2 linked regions of the Rattus norvegicus genome follow. The protein of the gene in region 2 interacts with the protein of the main gene of each other region in a pairwise test. Links are inferred from orthologs where the notes say so. Each region holds a gene or a part of one and is shown on either strand. Other genes may lie near its edges.

Evidence for each region.
Region 1: the proteins of Cdk1 (region 2) and Cdkn3 interact in a two-hybrid assay, tested with the Homo sapiens proteins (2 studies listed by BioGRID and IntAct). The link is inferred for Rattus norvegicus from reciprocal best matches to the Homo sapiens genes CDK1 and CDKN3.

What each region holds. Positions count from the first base shown.
Region 1 is NC_086033.1:22,494,160-22,511,068, reverse strand, and holds the start of Cdkn3 (cyclin-dependent kinase inhibitor 3), read right to left. Parts: upstream 8,672-16,909; 5' UTR 8,623-8,671; coding exon 8,614-8,622; intron 6,627-8,613; exon of another isoform or gene 6,613-6,626; coding exon 6,530-6,612; exon of another isoform or gene 6,528-6,529; coding exon of another isoform or gene 6,511-6,527; intron 4,690-6,510; coding exon 4,634-4,689; intron 4,213-4,633; coding exon 4,168-4,212; intron 1,720-4,167; coding exon 1,497-1,719; coding exon of another isoform or gene 1,442-1,496; exon of another isoform or gene 1,170-1,441; intron 10-1,169; coding exon 1-9. UniProt on the Homo sapiens protein: May play a role in cell cycle regulation. Dual specificity CC phosphatase active toward substrates containing either phosphotyrosine or phosphoserine residues. Dephosphorylates CDK2 at 'Thr-160' in a cyclin-dependent manner.
Region 2 is NC_086038.1:19,263,945-19,268,092, reverse strand, and holds the start of Cdk1 (cyclin-dependent kinase 1), read right to left. Parts: upstream 2,801-4,148; 5' UTR 2,725-2,800; intron 1,524-2,724; exon of another isoform or gene 1,433-1,523; intron 616-1,432; exon of another isoform or gene 566-615; intron 69-565; 5' UTR 43-68; coding exon 6-42; intron 1-5. UniProt on the Homo sapiens protein: Plays a key role in the control of the eukaryotic cell cycle by modulating the centrosome cycle as well as mitotic onset; promotes G2-M transition via association with multiple interphase cyclins.

The sequences.
Region 1 (16,909 bases), on a different chromosome or scaffold from region 2:
CCATAACAGCTGAAAGGCAAAGAGAGTTTTGAAGTTTGTCTGTTTGCATTTTCTCCTAAGTTACAACTTAAGACTTACTCTCTGCCTGCTATTAACCGCTCCAACTCCAGGTACAGCGTGTGCAGTCGGAGATTAGCCCTGCTGAGTTAAGTCGCCTGAAGCAGTGTGTGTTCACCCAGGTTGGCAGGTACTCTGAATTCCTCTAAGGGTTAGAGAGGGCTGCCTTAGTGACTACTGAACCCAAGCCCTACATCTGAGAAGTAGGGCATTAAACAAGTAGGAATCAAGACTGACTGTCTTCTCGGTAAATCTGAGTGGTTCTGGAGCAAGTGCCAACCCCGCAATAATCCTTCCTCTCTCTCAAACACAAAGGTAGCAAGTCACAGAGGACAAGAGAGAGGCTCAAATCCTGACGCTGGCCTAGGTCTTCAAGCTTGCTTTCTTACCTTTTATCTGTGAAATAGTCTTACTAATCGAACCTAATCAGAGTGAGGGTTGCACAAGGCAGTGTTTATAAAGGACTTAGAACACAGGCTGGAGGGAGAAGGAAACCTCTGAATGTTAGTGGACATGACCCAGCACTGTGAAGATGTCAACAGGTCTGCAACCTTGCAGGAAAACAACAGTCAACTCTCAGAGCTGGAAAACATTCCTTAAATCACCCTCAGAGATCCTCAAAAGTATGTTGTAAGGAAATAAGGAAACGTCCAGCCATCAGATGCCTCAAGCATTCTCCCATTGCAGGATCACCCATCCACCAGGCTTTTCTGTTTAAGCATCAGGTGGGGATTTTGGCTGCTGGGGTAGAATTTGCTGAGCCCCACTAAACTAAACTACTTTGGTATCTGCAAAGATACAGGTTGCTTTAGGATCTTTGAAAAACAAGTTTAGAGTCTGTTTGAAAAATGGGTCTAAATGTCTGTAATTTTTAGTAGCTACATCTGATGCTATTTTGCATATACTTACAAAGGAATTCTCTATAGATGTGTATTCTGAAATTTTGCCTTTGTTACCTCATGATGGGTGTGCTGTTTTCTATGGGACTCCACCATGCCAGGCTCTTTCATGGGTGCTGGGGGTCAACCTCAGGCCCTCACATTTGAGTGGCAAGTACTTTGCCAACTGATTATCTCCTCAGTCCGTAGAAGTCATATTTAAAAAGACCACTTACTGATGAGGGATTTTTTTTTTTTCTGTGAACTTTGAAAGTTCAAGTGACTTCTTTGCTACCGAAAACAACTGGCAGGCTGAGATGACAAGTTAGGAGACATGAGAGCCAGAGTAATGCCACACACTGGTGGAGACTAGAGGAAAGGAAAATGCCTGAACTCCTACTCTAAACACTGCTTGTTGCCAATGCCCTTGAGGTGTGGTAACAGGAAGTGTGTGGGTACGTTAGCTCTCTGTCCTGACAGCAGAGGGGGAGGTTAGGCTGAGCAGCTCAAGAGTCATTTTGATTGGAATGTTGCTTGTGTGGTATCCGGGGAAGAACATACTGTATCAGGGTTTTTCGGTTGTTTTTAAGGCAGGTGGCCAGCTCCTCCATGATTTCCCAGCAGCTGCCAATGTCGGGAGTCCCTCCATCTGGGATCGGATGATGATGGGTGACAATTCCATATTGTTGGTAGAGGTCCAGAAGGTTTGGGACTCTATATTTTGACAGTTCCCCTCTGGTGCAGAAAACAAATACGTCTTGGATCCCAGAGCTCTTTAGTTCCTCTGCCAAAAGACCAAGACACACACAGATGCATGTGTAAAACAGGACACGTTTAAATATGATCATGAGAGAGAATATGGAGTTACGTTCTTCAGCCAAGCTAGTAACCAGTGAAACTTTGTCAGTGTGAAATATCTAATGAAAGTACCTGAAACAAAAGCTGGTTAGAACTAAACTAAATTGATTTATGAGTAAAATGCTTTTGAATGAATTTCAGGATTGGCTGACGGTATTGATATTCTTGCATTAAAACTTGGTTCTTTTCCCTTGCAATAAATACTGCCTTTAATAATTAGGATTTAAGCTCCTCAGAAGGAATAGATAGCACTATTTTTAATCCCACCCCCACCCCCCGGATCAGCCATGTTCACACTCAGGCAAGTATCATAAATTGTCTCCAGCTGTAGCTCCCGTATGCTTCCCTTGTTCTGCACTGCACCACACCAACCTCGGTTAACTTCTACTGACCAGGTCTTGAGAAAATAAGGCATTAGCTGCACTAACTGTATATGGTTTAGCTCTTTTCATTTTAACAGTGGGAATCAAGAAATATTTCTATAGGATTTTATACTAGAACTTAAAAGAGATGATTTTCTTTTTTAACTATATAAATGTACGTCAGGATAGGGGTATATGCATGTGTGTGCAGTGCCTGTGGACTTCAGAAGAGGGCTTTGGATCTCCAGGATCTGCGGTTACAGGTATAAGCTGACCCATGTGGGCTCTGGGAACTGAATGCTGGTCATCTGCAAGAGCAGCACCCACTTTTAACCACTGAGCCCTCTCTTAGCTTCTGAACCTTCTTTATGGCACTGTTCATTCTGGATGATTATTTCAAAATAAATAATTCCCAGCCCCAACTGTGGACACTCACCTACCCAAGTACAGAGCCTTTGCAGTTAAAGTGTAAAGCATACACATTGTTTCAAAGACAAAGAAAATAAAGATCAAAATGATCTTAATATAATATCTGTGTGTGATGTACATATATATGATATTCCTATTACATGTAATATATATTATATATACATATATAATAGAGTGAACTGAGATTATGTGGGGGAAGGAAAGGGTCTAAAGAGAGAAGGAAGGAAGGCAGAAAGGAGGGGAATGTGGCCTAAACATTGTGCATTTTTACAATTGTAAAAGAACATGTGGTTACTGAAGCTTTCAGAAGAGGGAGTAATTTGTCATAATGTCTCCATTCACATTGGCTAGATTCTAATACAGTGGTTTTCAGGCTTTTCCAGAGGACACACCACAGGGACATTCTATGTCTTCCTCACCAAGTGTTTTGATCTGTTCTAAGTAATGGATTCTATGTGTGACTTCATTGTTTAAAAAAACATTAATGAAAAAACTAGAATCTTCTTTTTATAAAAGCCACTAAAATAAACAGGAAATTCCAAAATGTGTAATACTAGTTTTGAACCAATGATCTAAATAGTATTTGCTTATAGCTTAATGTCTTCCAAATGGAACATGGAAGATATCTCCTCTTGCTGTATGGATACCTAACGCAGAACATGTTTGGAAATTCCTCAAGGGTCAATTCAAGCATGAGTCTCTTTTTTGTCCTTTTTGTTGGTACAGGGTCTCATTCCGTAGCTCTGGCTAGCCTGGAGCTTGCTGTGTAGACCACATTAGCCTTAAATGCAGAGATCTGCTGCCTCTCTGCTAGGGTCAAAGGCGTGTGCTACCATGCCTGACTTTCTTCTCATCTTTTTTGATAGGTAAGAAATAAAGTATATTAATTGATATTCCAGAACAAGTAGAATAAAGTATTATGACTTTAAAAACTATTGGTCAGCATCTGTGAACAAGGAAAGCGATTCATGCTGCCTTGGCCACCCAAATGCTGGTTTCTACATCTGATTGAAGGCGGATCCCTAGGCTCCCAGCTTGGGTTTAATTTTTTTTTTTTTTTTTAAGATTTATTTATTTATTATATATGAGTACACTGTAGCTGTCTTCAGACACACCAGAAGAGGGCATCAGATCCCATTACAGATGGTTGTGAGCCACCATGTGGTTGCTGGGAATTGAACTCAGGGCCTCTGGAAGAGCAGTCGGTGCTCTTAACCACTGAGCCATCTCTCCAGCCCTTGGGTTTAATTTAAACTACCACAGTGATGTCCACAGGGAACAGTGCGTTCAACGTCACGGGCACTGCAGCGTGCAGGTTTCTTACTTGCACTCTTTTCTCCCTCAAACAGACAGAGTCTGTCATCAAAGTTTGTATGTGTAAATAGGACTACGGAAAACAAAGCTGTGTTCAGATAAATAAACGATGAGCCCTTGGGCTCATCACCAATACCTTTTCACATTCGAGAGTTCACAGTTAGAAATGCCATAAGATTTCATTTTGTATACTGAGAAGAGAATATAGTTCAACAGAGTTTCAGGCTTAAAACAAGACCAGTAGTGGGCTTTTATCAGAGTGAACCTACCTGTATCTTTTTGAATGTTTCTTCTAACATCTTTAAATTTACAACCTACAGATAAGGAAAGTAAAAACAAAACAAAACAGAACAATCAGTTTGCAGTTGTGTAAGAAAGCGTATTTAAACACACACACACACACACACACATATACACACACACACAGCTACTGTAGAAAGTCATTTCACATGGCTATTCATGTTTCGGTTCCATTTTAAATGTACATATTAATTTTGGTCAATTTCCCTGAAGGGGTCCAGGTGCGGGAGCTCCTGGCCATGGTCTCAACCTCATTTCTGCCTGGCTTTAAGTCTCACTGGATTGGGTAAGTTCAAAGTGCAGCCCTGGATGCAGAAGGTGTTCCTGAAGGCTTCTCTAAGACAAGGTCACCAGTCTGTATGCACCGAGCCACCTGTCAGCTCACCAGAATCTGCCTTCATATTAATAGGAAGCCACCGGAGTGTCCTCACCTACCTGGAAGAGCACATAAACCGAGAAACTGAGAACAATTCACTCGTGACAGAGGTAGCCTATGAAGAAAAATGTATAAAGTTTAGTTTTTAAAACTGCACAAATGGAAATTACGCCTACCTAACAAGAGTGCCTGCCACCGAGTAAGGAAGGGTGCTTTAGCATTTTACAGCAGTCACAAAACACCAGTCCATAGTTAAACGTGGGGAACAGGAAAGGCCTAGAACGAGTAAAAGTACAGAAACGGGGCCGTCCTTACTTTAATGCCAATTAAATCTTAAATGAGTGAGTTAAGCCTTTACCATGAAGGTAATGGTTCCTGGATACTCTACAGGAAGACCCAGTGACCCTGTGGTGTGACCCCAAAAGCTTAGGACCAGTGTTACTCAGTTTCGAGATGCTGGAAGGATTGCATAGACTTTTGGTAAAACTGCCTCATAGATATAATTTCATATGAAGAGAACAGGCTACCATCCTTTATTGTCAATACTTTTGATTAAAATGGAACAGGCTTCTAGAACTCAGTCTTGTTTGCAATACCCAGGGACAGAGGCTCCCCATCTGAGTGTCAGGAGATGAGCTGAGAAAAGCCATCATGGGAAAAGAGCTGGGGTGAAGAACTAGATTTAGTTTTGAGTTTAGAACAGAGCTGAGAGCTTATTTGATGACAGAATAAAAGACAATCCTCAGTCCTCACTCTTCCTGTGGAGGGGAAGGGTGTTTCCTCGAGAGATCAGAACTTGTATTTTCTGTGCTGGGGCATGAGTAGACAGGTAAGCTATTACCGGGTAAGACTGCTGGCTTTGTGGGGATGAGCGGCTTTATGGGGATTCAGTTGCTGGCTGCAGAGAAGACTTGGGAATTAATTGATGAGAAACTTTTTAACGACTGATGTTGGTCCACCTGACTGGACTAAGAACCACCTAAGGGATTGGTAAGGCGCAGGTACTGAACCTAAAGAATGGACTGCAGGAGAGTGGGGAAGAGCGCTTGGCTGACTGGAAAACATGTTGGGGCATGTCCCTCCCTGGCTACTTCATGTTACCATCCTACTCTGCTTCTTCCTGACAGTCATGGTCTGAGTTCCTGTGTCCTGACATGCACCTGTCCCCTGCTACAATGCACGGAAATCTCAAAAAGGAACCTTCCCTCCCTTAAGACATGTATGTTGGGCAGAAACAGTTATATGATATGGCTTTTATTTTACATGGTCTACTGACGGACACATCACCATGACCAATAGTTCTGTGTATTAAATAGGATTTAACCTAATGATTAATTATTAAATATCCTATCTTGGGCATTACTGTTTCAGATGCATTTTTTTTTTGTTTTTGTTTTGTTTTTTGTTGAGATAGGGTTTCTGTGTAGCCCTGGATGTCCTGGAACTCTCTCTGTAGACCAGGCTGGCCTTGAATTCAGAGCTCCGCCTGCCTCTGCCTCTCGAGTGCTGTGATTAAAGCTGTGTCACTGCCACCCAGATGGCATTACTGTTTCTCTAACTCTAAAAGAATACATAAATCTTGGTTGGAGATAATTTTAAAAAAACCTTCCTCTTGTTTACTTGCTGCTACAAAGAGTTTTATTTTCTCCATGTCTAAAGGACTAAAAGGGGGGGGGGGAGTGTAGTTTCATTTGCTATCAGATAATAAAAACAAATCATGGAGTAAGAGAGTCACTTAAAAATTAAAACTCTATAACTGGCCCAGAGAATGCTTGGTATTTTCAGTTACAAGCCTGACCTTGCCCAAATATGATGTAACATCGAATACTGTAACTCACCACTGAAGTGCTGACATACCATGAATATTGTATGAATATTGTAACTCACCACTGAAGTGCTGACATACCATGAATATTGTATGAATATTGTAACTCACCACTGAAGTGCTGACATACCATGAAATTTGAATTGGAGTCTGCTCGTCGTCAGCAGGCTCTTCGTCTGAAGAATCAAACTCGCTTGCTTGTATTGAAATGGGCTTCAAAAGAAATGCTATGTTAAATTACTAAAAGGAACATTTGCATGTAATCTTCACATAGCTGATCCATGATTAAACACCCTTTGAATCAATATTTGCAATTTTTTTAGTCATTGATCTGGGCTATCAGAGAGATCAGCAATACCAAAAATAGATTATTACTGTTGACTCTCTGATTAATCACAGCACTGGTATATTGGGTAGAATTGGAGGTCCTTGGATAATATCAGACAAGGCACCTGAGTTTATCCTGGATCGGTTTTCCTCAATTCTGAAGTATGATTTGCCCATTCCACCTCAAACATGTCTTAGACCTTCTATTTGTGTGCTCCAAAGACCTGAAGACCCTGTGGTACATTGTCTACCTTCAGCATAGCTAGAGAGACAGCGGTGTGTGCAAGATTACAGAATGGCAATCGTGTTAAACTAGCAGAAACCATGTGCTGCAGAGCAGAAGGGATGACTGACTGATCATTTAGGGAGCACTGAAGGGTTTGACAGAGACCATTGAGCTAAGCTTTGAAGAAAGTGCAGGTTTCTAGGTAGACTGGGAAGTTAAAGCAGTCAGTGTGAAAATTCAAGAGCTGAGCCAGGTACGATGGTGCAAAGTTTTGATTCAGCAGTGGGGAGACGAAGGTTCAAGTTCCAGAGCAATCGTATACATGGCCAGGTTGGCTCTACAGAAAACACAAGAGAGCATATGGGTGGAGGGGTGGAGGACTCTGTATTCATTCTAGTAGAGATGACAAGAGAGTCAGTGAGCACTGCTCACCCCGTTTCTAAGAAAAATAACCCCATACAGCCTAGCAAGTGAGTAGACATAGAGACAACCAGTCTCCCCTTATCTTTATGAATTACTGGATTACAGGAATTCTGATGGACCTTATATGCTGATCTAAGCGGGTGTAACTCAGTTCTGGATGCATTTCTATATGGAAGGAAAAAAAATATTCTTCCCCACTCCCTAGTTGGAATCATCTGAGATCAGACATTTTAACAGTAAGTGTGAAAAAACAAAAAAAACGAAACATCATTTTTAATGAATGTCAGAAAGTATGCTGTGGCCGAGTGATTCCCACGTCAATCCAGAATGGGACAGATCTACCCCTTCCCAGGCAGCGATGTACTGAGGATTCACTCCTGTGTGCTAAGGTGGAGACCAGAAAGCAGGCAGACCTCGGGAGGAGGAAATGGTGGGTTCTACTTTGTTCAATCCCTCTATACCAGAGGTCGGATATCTTCCTCTTCTGGACAGCTGACACAGTGGACACAGGGCTTGCAAGAGTAGCCACCTGACTGCTTGGCTTCAGTCTTGCTGGAGGGACAGATGATAACTGACAAGCTATAGATTGCGATTTCTTTGGATTGCTCTTTGGTATAAAACGCAACGGAACCCAAATGAAGCCTTTAAGTAGGGTACCAGCTGTGAGGTAGAAACTATAGGTCAGGAGGGGCTTCCAACTCGTGGCTAAGACCCTTTTTCTTTTCTCCTATAAACAAGAGTTTACGCTTGAGTGACCCATTCACTCCACCCCTCCCAGCTAGGTGTGGATAAATCCTAACAGGCTAGACGTCCCTGCTTTCCCAAGGCCCAGATAATCTGAGGGGAACAGGATGCGGTGCCAAGAGGTCACTGAGGGAGGGTAGCTATCGTGACCGCACCTACAAACAGGGTCCTGACAGCCTTTGCATCTGAGGCACCAAACCACCCACGAACCCGACCGTGACAGCCTCTGCATCTGAGGTATCAAGCCACCCACAAACCAGGTCGTGACAGACTTTGCATCCGAGGTGTCAAGCTGAATGGTTTGGCCCTCTCTGGCAGGGCCGTCATGAGCCCCCACAGGCGGTCAGGGAACCGCGGTGCCTCCGCTCCGCCTCCCCGACGCGCAGGGAGGTTACTAGGCGAGTCAAACCGCTGGCCGTCCAGCAACGCAGCGGAGGCCGGCCAGCGTCTGCCCCAGCGGCGAGAATCCTTCGGGTCCCGCCGGCCCCACTCACCGGCTTCATCGCGGGCCGCCACACGCAGTAACCAGTGCCGCCGCCCTCACAGCATCCACGACGCGGCCCGCGCCGAGCCCGCCACCGTCAGCTCATTGGTCCGCTCGCGTGGGAGGTGGCGCGGGGCGTTCTAGCAACCAATCATATCCTCGCTCTGTTTCTTAGTCCGTGGCCTGGCTCAGCCTTTGACTGCTCATTGGTTCGGAGGAAGTCTTTGAAAGACGCGCGGAAGGCGGGCCCGGAAGAAAATGGATTGACTGGAGGGCTCCGCCCCTCCGCCAGTTGGGGGCGTGGACGTGACAAGGGGCGGGGCGAAGGGGTTCCCCACAAGCCCAGCGCTTTGGAGACAGTTGATGGTATTTTCTGAATGATAGCAGGGTAGGGAGATTTGTCGGCTTTCTTAAGGTTTTTCTTTTAAATTATTTTAACTTTAAGGGCGTGGTGATTGGTGGCGGAGAGCCCTGCATCGGAGGCGTGCATGTGAAAACTGTCACTGAAGTCATATCTAGTTATGACTTCTACTATGGAGAATACTAAAGAAAGAACATAGGCATACTCGATGCTGAATGTTCTTTACTGTTCCAGGATGTACAAAAGTTAATGTGTAGATCAGCCTTCCTGTTCACGAGGTAGAAATGTGCTAATACTGTATGAGAAGGAGATAAAATATGGTGTGCATGTGTGTGGGGTCTCCCTTGGCAGGCTTCTACACAGTCAGTACCAATAATAAAATTGTGCTCTGAGCCTGCTATTTGGGGGCTAGGAACTGAAATCTGAGAGCAGTATATGCTCTTTACTGCTGAATCTTCTCTCTAGGTGTACCCCCCACCCCCAACCCCCCACTCCCCTGAAATTTGAGGAAAGCAGAAGTTCCTCTGTTACCCTTATGTCAAAGGCAGTGGGCACAGGGCTAGTAGGTAGGTAAAGAAGACAGCACGATTTGACCTAGAAATTGAATTAGTCATGGTCCTCCAGAGAAATAGAAGTGTGTGTGTGTGTGTGTGTGTGTGTGTGTAAAATGGTCTCCTTTGGCTTGGGGATGCTGATGAGTTCAAAATCCAGTAAGAAGTTAGTGATTGTTGACCCAGAAGATTATGGTTCAAGTTCAAAGGCAGATTGTTGTGGGACTAGAAAGAGTCTGTGTTGTAAATGAACGGTGAAAACCGTAAGTCAAAGAATCCTCCTTGTGCAAGGAAAATCTTATCCGTTGTGGTCCCCAGGCTTCCAGCTGAGTACTATGGAAGTACTTTGGGCACCTGCTTCGCCCAAAGTCTACCAACTTAAACGTAAATTACACCCCCTAATACTCATAATAGTGCTTTCCCAAATATCTGAGCACCTGGCTTCGTTAGCCAGGTCAGGACATGCCGTAGTTAGGACTTCCCTTACTGTTAGGAAATGCCATGGCCAAGAAACAAGTTGGGGAGGAACTCAGCTTACAGTTACATGTTGCTGTTCATCACCAAAGGAAGTCAGGGCTGGAACTCACACAAGGGAGGAAGCTGGAAGCAGGAGCTGATGCAGCAGTCATGGAGGGATGCTGCTTACTGGCTTTCTTCCCCTGGCTTGCTAGCCTGCTTTCTTATAGAAGGCAGGACCACCGCCCAGGGATGGCACTGCCCACTGTGGACTGGACCCTCCTCCACTGATCACTAATTGATGTCTTATAGCCAGATCTCCTGGAGACATTTCTTCAACCGAGGCTCCTTCCTCAACCTGACACATAAAACATGCTAGTGCCGTGGACAAAATGAACACGGAGTCCCACTGGGATTTTCTGTAGTCAGTGAACACTTTTAGATTCATGCTGTCCATATTGAATGCTCATATCCAAAGTTCAAAGATTAAGCTAGAACAACAAAGCAAGAAATGCTACTTTACAGATATTCTCTTTTAATGTAAGTCTGCTTCCTTAGATGATGTTGCAGTCGACATAGGGAACTAGTTACCACCCACTACAAATTCACAATGGGACATAGAACAATGCATAAGAGGAGCCTCGATCAAGATACACACGAGGTGTGATGAGAAGCAGTGCCCTGTGTGTGGAGTAAGGTGGGCAAGAGGCTCAGGGGTGGGAGCACTGGGAATGTGGGCTGAGGAGCTGACCTAGGGAAGCCGGTACCACAGCAAACCCCACAAAACCACACCCTGCATCCGGCCTCACTTGCTTACCCATAAGCATTTGCTACTGAAATATCCCTCACAGGGTCATGTCCTGGATGTCAGCCCAGCTGAGGGCACTATTTTGGGAAGTTCTAGTAATTCTGAGGAGGGCGTGTCTGGAACTGTCTCCTTTGACTCTGGAATCCTCATTTGAGAGAGTAGGCCTCTAAGGGCAGGCATTGGGGATATATGACGCCTTTCTACTACCAGTGCCCCCGCCCCCCAGCATCCTCTCCACCACTGAGTGCGTTATTCTGCTTCTCTACACCCACTCGTGTGACACAACGACATGTCTGAAACAGTGGGCCAGAAGAAAGCCTCCCTTGAGTTGCCTAGTCCAGGTTTTTTTTGCTCACTGTGAACACAAAAGTGGCTCATGCAACACGTCTGTATAGGCTTTAGGAAATGAGTCCTCCCGAGTTTCTTTCCCTTTTGAAGATTTATTTCTTCCTAATTCATGTATGTATGTATGAGTGTGCGCATGCGTGAATGTGCACTGTGTACATGCCTTGTGCCCGTGAAGGCCAGAAGTGGGCTTTGAACTCACTGGACCCACAGGCAATTGTGAGTTGTCCCCGTTGGGTGCTGGGAACTGAACACAGGTCTGTAAGGGCAGCAGGAACACAGGTCTGAGCCACCTCTCCAAAGCCATATGCTCGCTCGTTTCTATGCCGGCCACATCCTGAACTGAAGCTTTCGAATCACCTGATCTTCTTTGGCAAAGGTCAGGCGCTAGGTATTAGTTACAGATCTGCTAGAGGGCACAAGCCGGCTGAGAGAATTCTCTCCTGCTTCTCCGTTTCCTGTCCGGATAAATCAAGACCCGTCTCCTTAAGATTTTTACCATTAGGACTTCCTGTGACACAGACTGTGGCCTTTAATTGTGAACCTTTCTCCTTTAAGTGGTTCTGGTCAGGACATTCCATCATAGCAGGAGGAAAAGGAACTAGGAAAAAAAAATGCTCGTCAGCCTAGTTTCTGATAGGACTCATTCCTTGAAGCCTCATAAGCCTGGCTTACCACTTCTGCATTTTCCTTGGGATTGCAACCTACTACACTTCTGCCAGAATGACTCTCTGTAAGCTCTAGTTACAGCACTCAAGGGATTTTCTACCACAAAGCTGCAAACTTTTTCACATTGTCTTAGTTAGGGTTCCATTGCTGTGAACAAGGCAACTCATGTAAAGGACACCATTTAATTGGGACTGAAGGACCCTAGGGGCTTTCACCAGCCTTACATCTACCACCTCAGGTCAAAATTAGGCCAAGTACCAGCTTCCTGCCTTGGGTCAAGGCTAGGCCAAGTTCCATTCTTCACCCACAGTTCTCGGGAGGAGCAGGGACATTCTTGAGAAACTGCAGAATGTACTGACTGAGAGTCATCTGACCCTCTGGTCCCAGATAGAGTTCGAATGCATGTCATATGCTTGCTAGCCAGTAGATTCAAAGATCGATATACTTAGCCAATAAGTTTAAACTGTAACCTTGCCGATGCAACCTGTACCCCTAAAAGGTATAAAAACTGATTGTTATAGCCATTTGGGGTCACCTTCTAGTCACTCGCCATGAAGGGCTGATTGAGGGTCGACCCCAACAAATAAACCTCTTGTGTTTGCATTGAACTCCATTCTTGTGTCTCACTTGGGAGGGTCTCCCGGTAGTTAAGACTCACTTGGAGCCTTACAGGGCTGGCTTACAGTTTCAGAGGTTCAATTTATTATCATCATGGCAGGAAGCATGGCAGCATCCAGACAGTCATGGTGCTGGATGAACCAAGAGTTCTATATCTTTATCTGAAGGCAACCAGGAAAGACTGTCTTCCACGGCAGCCTGGATGGGGGTCTCTTCAGCATTGGGCAGAGCTTGAACATGAGGAGCCCTGAAAACCTTCATCCGACAAGGATGAACACACTTCATCCAACAAGGCCGCAGCTATTCCAGAAAGGCCACACCTCCTAATAGAATTTTCAAACCACTGCACACAGGAACCACATGACCAGGTTTATCAGAGCAAGAGCAACTTAGGTGTAGCATCTTGTGGATGTCACTTGCTTGGCGGTAACTGGTTTCTATGTCGGAAGTATAGGTGTAGACAGTGGCTCAATTTCAGATGGTTCTATCAGATAGTAAAGCCTCTTCTGTGATCATATTACCTAGTCAGTATCCACAATTATTTCATAGCTTATGTCTCTCCAGAGGGCTGTCCCCATCTGAACTGGCTCCCAAATTAGTATCTTATTCATTGGACCTAAGCTTGCTTACTCTAGAGCAGTGCTTCTCAACCTGTGGGTCGCGACCCCATGGGGGTTGAATATCAGATCCGGTGCATATCAAACATTAACATTACCTAACAGTAGCAAAATTAAGGTGCATATCAAATATTAACATTACATAATGTAGAGAGCAGCGCGGCAAAACAAAGATGGCGCCGACATCCAGCCTCGTCTGGATGTCGACAACTTACCACGCATGTGCAGGCTTGTCCCCTTGCTAGGGCGGCCATACAATAATGTGATGTAGGGCGCCCCCCAGTGGTGAACAACGGTACTGCACATGTGCGGTTTTTGCACCAGGTGTCAGTTGGCCGTTAATATGCTAATGAGGGGCGGTACCATGCTAGTGGGGTGATTCATTCTCCGCCAATCCCTGGAGGACAAGTAGTGGGGTGATAGTGGGGTGATCCGTGCCCCACCAATCCCTGAGAGTTTATTAGCATACTGTTGTGTATATAAGGCAAGCGACTTTGCCACTCGGGGTCCCTGTTCAAGAGAGCTGTACCACAGTAAAGGTTTGTTCACAGAAGAATCCTGTTGCTGTGCGTCGTTCTTGCTGGCGGGACGTTGGGCGCCCGACAAGTGGTGCCGAAACCCGAGAACCAACATCGCCGGTGCCGAGGGGACCCTTCAGTGTGCTGAAGAGGATTCAGAACTGCGAGAAGGTAAATTAAAAGGTAAGCTCTGAGAGGCATGCCCCTTTTTGGATTTAGTCTTGCCGTGGAGGGATTGTTGCTCGTTTTTATAGTGACTGTTGTCTTCTTACTAGTTGTGTTAAAATGTGAGGACATAGTCAAGGCAGGACAGAACATTCAAGAGAGCATGTCAGAAACGGAGCGGAGTGAGAAATTAGGAGCGCGCAAAAAGAAAAAGGTTACTAAAACAAAAGTGAAAGAGATACAAAAGGCGGAAGAAATGCCGCCGGAGGAAAAAATAGGTATGCCCCGGAGGACGAAGTACAAGTCATCCGGAGAGGATACTTTGTATCCATTAAAAGAATTAGAAGCCTTAGAACTGACTGGTAGTGACTCTGAGCAAGAGTTGTCAGAGTCGGAGGAGGAGGAATTAGAGGAAGAGGCAGCCAGATATGAGGAAGAAAGATATGGGCCTAGGTGGAGAGCCACTGTGAAGAAACCGAAAGTTATTAATGCCTCGGTGGCCTCTGTTCCCCCGCCTTATATAGAGGGGAAGTGTGAGTACTCTTTCTGTCCGCCTGAAACACAGCGAGCACTCGGGCAAATGTTTCTTGTGTTTGAGGACGATGGTGTTCGTTCTCATCAGCCCCTAGAACACAAGCAAATTAAGGAACTGGCAGAGTCTGTTCGTGCCTATGGGGTTACTGCTAATTTTACCATGTCACAGGTAGAAAGACTAGCAAGCATTGCCATGACTCCAGCAGACTGGCAATCTGTGACAAAGGCCTGTCTCCTTAGCATGGGACAGTATATTGAGTGGAAAGCACTGTGGCACGATGCTTGCCAAGCACAAGCACGCGCAAATGCAGCAGCAGGACAACCTGCCTGGACATTTGATATGTTAACTGGACAAGGGCAATGGGCCAATAATCAAACTGCCTTCCCCTTGGAGGTATATGGTCAGATTGCTATTAGTGCTGTCAAGGCATGGAAAGCTCTAACTAACAGAGGAGAGGTGTCTGGGAACCCGACCAAGGTCATCCAAGGACCAAGTGAGCCTTTCTCAGATTTTGTGGCCTGCATGATGGAGGCTGCTGGTAGGATTTTTGGAGACCAAGACCAGGCCATGCCCTTAATAGAACAGTTAGTTTTTGAACAATGTACCAAAGAATGCCGCAATGCAATCCTCCCCTGGAAATCTAAGGGGCTGCAGGCTTGGCTGAAAGCCTGTAGGAAAATAGAAGGACCACTTACCAATACCGGTCTAGCCACGGCTATATTACAAGGACAAAGGCGGCCTGGCCTCTCTAGTAGAGGCATCACGTGTTTCCAATGTGGAAAGCCTGGTCATATGAAAAGGGAGTGCAGGAATCAGAATCCTGGCTTTAATCCAAAGAAAGTCCCAGGACTGTGTCCAAAGTGTAAGAAAGGGAAGCATTGGGCCAGTGAGTGCAGGTCAGTAAAGGACATAATGGGGAAACCCTTGGATGTGTCAAAAAATGTCCAACAGGGCCCCCGTCCTCAGGGCCCTCAAATATATGGGGCAACCAGCTCCCCAGTAACCTGGGCTCGTCAAACTTCCCCAGGAGAGCCACTCTGGGTTCCACAGGATTGGACCTCCGTGCCACCTCCAGAATCGTCCTAACCCCTCCAATGGGGGTGCAGCCTATCCCCTCTGACTTTCATGGCCCTTTACCACCCAATACAGTTGGGCTGCTTTTAGGACGCTCCTCTACTACTCTTAAGGGATTGGTGGTACATCCTGGGGTTATTGATCAAGATTACGAGGGCCAGTTGAAGATCATGTGCTCCTCCCCACGAGGTCTCTTCTCCATTTCCCCAGGTGACCGGATTGCACAATTGCTTGTTTTACCCAGTTGTCACGCCCAGTTTAAATCAGGAAGTACAAAAAGAGGAAAGAAGGGTTTTGGCTCTACGGGCACTGATTCAGCATATCTTATGGTCAATTTACACGCTCGACCTACTCTGATCCTAACCATTGAAGGAAAGACATTTGACGGAATTCTAGATACAGGAGCAGACAAAATCATTATCTCCACTAAATGGTGGCCTACAAAATGGCCCATTACTCAATCTTCCCATTCATTACAAGGTTTGGGTTATGAAGCTAGTCCAACTGTTAGCTCTAGGCCCTTAAAGTGGAAAGCCCCAGAAGGACAGGAGGGTAGTTTCGTCCCATATGTTCTTCCTTTACCTGTCAATTTATGGGGAAGAGATATTTTGGCTGAGTTAGGGCTTAAACTTATGAATGAGTATTCCCTACCAGCACAGAGAATGGTGAGGGACATGGGGTATGTCCCAGGAAAAGACATTGGTAAGCATCACCAAGGAACTACAGAGCCAATTCAACCCACTGCAAAACTCGATCGTCACGGTCTGGGTTTTTCTTAGAGGCCATTGAGGGGGCTATGCCCATACCGTGGATAACAGATGAGGCTGTATGGGTTCCTCAATGGCCTCTCTCCTCTGAAAAGCTAGAGGCCGCTCACCAATTAGTAAAGGAACAGTTGCAATTAGGACATTTGGAACCTTCAAGCTCACCCTGGAATACTCCAATATTTGTTATAAAAAAGAAGTCAGGAAAATGGAGACTATTGCATGATCTTAGAGCAATTAATACACAAATGAAATTGTATGGATCAGTCCAACGTGGTCTCCCGCTTCTTTCTGCTTTGCCAAAGCAATGGGAGGTTATTATAATAGATATTAAGGATTGCTTTTTCTCTATTCCTTTACATCCTAAGGATAAAGAGAGGTTTGCCTTTACTCTACCTGCAATAAATCATGTGGAGCCTGATGAGTGCTATCAATGGAAAGTCTTGCCTCAGGGGATGGCAAACAGCCCCACTATGTGTCAGTTATATGTACAACAGGCCCTGACTCCTGTCAGAGGGCGATATCCATCACTAACGATTCTTCATTACATGGATGATATACTCCTCTGTGGATCCAAACCTCAAGAGCTTGAGATAGCATATGCTGACTTAATTAAGCATTTGCAACAGTTCGGGCTAACTATAGCTACTGAAAAGGTTCAGAGATCGCTGATGGGCAAGTTTTTAGGAGCCGTTGTACATCCAGAAGTTATTACTCCACAAAAAATTGAAATCAGGCGAGATCACCTACAAACCTTAAATGATTTTCAAAAACTTTTGGGAGATATTAATTAATGGCTACAGCCATTCCTGAAAATATCTACTG
Region 2 (4,148 bases):
CTCACCTTCTCCGATTTTCTCTATTTTGATATAGTCCTCCATAGTTACTCAACAGGTTACAACGGACCCTAAAAGGACGAGAAACATGGCTGTGGTCATGTGGTCATAATTCAAACAGTCGGAAGTATCCGGAAGACAGACGTCCCGGAGGAGTGCTTTCCATCACCTCCAGCATAGCCTGCCACTATCCGCCATTCCTTCAGGCAGTATTGTTGGGCTTTACCTGCTCCTGCAGTGAAGCGTTCCGAGCCTTCTCAGACACTGCCTTTGTATATTCTATACAGTGTTGTACATGGCCCCTTCACATTCACAAACCAAGCAGGCCTGTCGACCCAGCTACTAAGGAGACTGTCACACAGCCAGCTAAACGACTTAGTGATACTATGTCTCAAAAGAAATAAGCAGTAGTCCCTGACCCTCGGGACTTAAAGTTTCAAAACGGAAGTATAATGATTTTAATGCCAGTATTTCAACACGTTGCTACTGTACTAAAATTGCTTTATTTTTTTTTCCTTTAAAACAATGAGAATCTGTGAGAAGGAAGCTGTGCATGATGTAATCCTACCGTAAGGAAGAGCAAGTTCGAGGCCAACCTGTGGCCTAGTTTGCTGCAGCCCTGTCTGAGAAGGAAACAAAGTACAACTGTAAAGTCCAACCCCTAGAAAGGAAGGACAGTCATTTTTTAATAAAAGCTTCTGTTTACCTTAAAAGCATTCAATTCACTTGAAACAGCATGAACTCCTAGCTGCACAAGTGAAGTAAATCTTTTCGGAAACCAGCCACAGACAATCCCACTCAAGACTCAAGACTTGGAGGGAATGCCAATAAGCCCCTTAGAAGGAAGTATGTGAGGTGAGGAGCTGGCCAGTTTAGGTCACATTGTCACAAGCTGAAGTCACCAGAGAGGGAACCTCAGTTAAGAAAATGCTTCTGATAGGGCTGTAGGCAAGCCCTTAGGGTATTCTCTTAATTAGTGATGATGGGAGAGGGCTCAGCCCATTGTGGGAGGGGCCATCCCTGGGCAGAGGGGCCTTCCTTCTAGAAGAAAGCAGGCTGTGCAAGCAATGTCAAGGAAGCCAGGAAGCAACACCCCTCCATTGCCTCTGCATCTGCTCCTGCCTCCAGGGTCCCGTTCAGACTTCCTCTGTTATGGAATTGTGACGAGGAAGTACAAGACAACTAAACCCTTTCCTTCCCAAGTTGCTTTGCTTTGGGCATGGCTTTTCACCATAACAATAATAACCCTGACTAAGACAGTTTGAACAAAACCCTAATCACACCGGCAAAAATATCATGAGCAAGGAAGGAAAAAAAAAAACCTTGGCTCACAAAGAATGGCAGAAAGAAAAAAAAAAGAAAAGAAAAAACTAAGCGCCTTTTCCTTGAAAGCCCTGGGCAGATCCTTACCAATGAACATCAAGGAATAGCTGACCTTTTGTGAGCTGGTCCTTACAGATCCCTTTGCACTGTAAAATCAGCTCTGTGGGGTGTGGTGGCACAGCCTGGAATCCCAGCTCTTGAGACTGCACAAGGAGACAGGGGCTCAACAAATTAAAAAAAAAAAAATCAAAAAGAAAATGTAAACCTGTCCAAGAGCCTTGCCAGGCATCCCACTAGACCCTGGGGATTCTCATACGCCTAAGTTTGACTCTCAACTATGTATATGTTTAAGAAATTACTCCCCCCCCCCCAAATCCCCTTTCTTCAACACAGAGACGTAACAGAACTATAGTACATTAAACTGTGCCGCCACCTCTGCACAGACAGCAAAGAGTTAAAGTGTCTTCAAAACTGGGCTCATCCCTTCCAACCTTTTCCAGCCTCCTGGGGCTGGTGTTAAAAGCTGCCCAGGGTATCCAAGTTTGGGGGGTTGGGATAGGGGTATGGTGGTCCACGCACCAAGACCTTCATCATTACTTATGTTTTAAGACGATGAAGGATGCGATGGTATCCGCGGTTCTCCCTCTCTCTGTTTCTTAGCCTGGGTAGCGTCTGTGGCCGTCTATAAGCACCCGCAACTAAAAATAAACGATCCTACACTCTCTTGGCTCTGCACCTTGGTGGGATTGCTTTTTGAACGACCACGGGTCTGTTTCTCCGGCAGTACCGACTTGAAGGCCTCCGAAAGCAGCTGGTCTGGTGCAGCCCAGCTCCGCACAGGCAGCCAGCAGGGCCTGGGACCCAACTTGGCACCCCGCCCACACCCGGGGCTCCAGCGAGGCCTGCTCGTCTGCAGGACCCCGGGCTTGGGTGAGTCCTGTTCCTCCATAGAGGATCCCAGCCCCGGGTGATCCCTGCCCCTCCATAGGGGACCTGGGGCTCAGAGGAACCATGCTCCTCCAAAGGGGACCCCGGACTTAGGTGAGGTCATGCCCATCCATAGGGGACCCCAGGCTCAGGTGAGCCCTACAACTCCATAGGGGACCCCGGGCTAAGGTAGACCATGCTCATCCATAGGAGATCGATCCCAGGCTCAGCTGAGTCCTGCACCTCCATAGGGGACCCCAGGCTCAGGGAGGCCATGACGGTCCATAGGGGACCCTGGACTCAGGTGAGGCCCTACCCGTCCACAGGAGACCATGATCTCACGTGGAGGCTCTACCCGTCCACAAGGGGGTCCCCCGGACTCACAGGATGTCCTGCCTGTCCCCCCCCGGGGGGACACCCCGGCTCCCGTGGAGCCCCCGCAGGCCCTGCCGGCACCCTGCCGGACTCACGCCATACCTCTCTGTTCCCGCGGTGGCCACACCGCAGTTCCGGACTGCGCGGACGCAGCGACTCCGGGAGCTTAGAGGCCGAGTGCCAGCAGTTTCAAACTCACCGCGGTAAAGCTCCCCGGGTCCGCCAATCCGATTGCACGTAGACGTTCAAAGGAGCCAATCAGAGCCGAGCTAAGCTACGGCCCGGGCTGCCTGGGAGTGCAGAGCGCGAAAGGGAGCGGAAACCGCGGCCGGAGGAATTACAGGAGGGCGGGCGCCAACTGACTCTTGAGCTCAGCTTTCCTTCCAATGTCGTCTTGTTGTTTCTGGACAGTCTAATCTGTTTTTCCCCCCTCCCTCTACATTTCTATTTGTAACTTTCTTTCAGGATTAACACAATTAAAATGTATTGCATTTAGATAGCTAGCCACAAAAGTGATAATGCCACTACATCAAGAGTTTCTTATTTTTACTACTTTTATTTTGTTTGGTTTTGCTTTTTTTGAGACAAGTTTTCTCTGTGTAGTCTTGACTGTCCTGGAACTGGCTCTGTAAACAAGGCTGGGCTTGAACTCACAGATATCATCATGCTTCTGCCTCCTGAGTGCCCAGGTTAAAGGTGCGTGCTGCTGCCACCACCACCTGGCTACTGCTAACATTTAAAATTACTTTCTGGAATTGGAGATTTAGCCCAGTGATAGAACACTTGGTCCTCAGCTCCAAAGGGGGAAAAATTACTTTATGATTATGCCTTTCAAAAATATATATTAAGCTGAGGATTGTGGCACATGCCTTTAATCCTAGCACACACAGCAGCAGGCATGTGTGTGTGTGTGCATATGTTGTGTGTATGTGCACTGGCATATGTATGTGCACATGTGTGTATGTTTGTGTATATAAACATCTGTTTTTATATATAGCTATAATATATACATACATAATATTAAGTTTCACTATGGAATTGTGAAATGTTATTGGTCTGTGTTAATTCTTCTCATCCTTCTCCAGTAACCCTAATACCCCCATCTTTTTTTTTTTTGGTTCTTTTTTTTTTCGGAGCTGGGGACCGAACCCAGGGCCTTGCGCTTCCTAGGTAAGCGCTCTACCACTGAGCTAAATCCCCAGCCCCCTAATACCCCCATCTTGTAACTGCCCACCCCCACCCCCATAGCCTCCCATGTCCTGGCACCATGTCCATGACTCTCATTTTTCCCTTCTGGTGACCCTTCCTTTGTAGTTCAAAGCTTATATACACACTAACATATGACCACTACATGCTAGGATCCGCATATTTAAAGGAACATGAAGTCGCTGTCTCAGTATGTCTCTGTTAGCTCCCTTGATGTATTTCCCAGATGGCCCCATGTTCCATGATTACAGTTTTGCTAATGAGTGATTAGTGGCCAGCAGAAGGATCACATTTAAAGTGTCTGGAGAAGACAAGGGCAA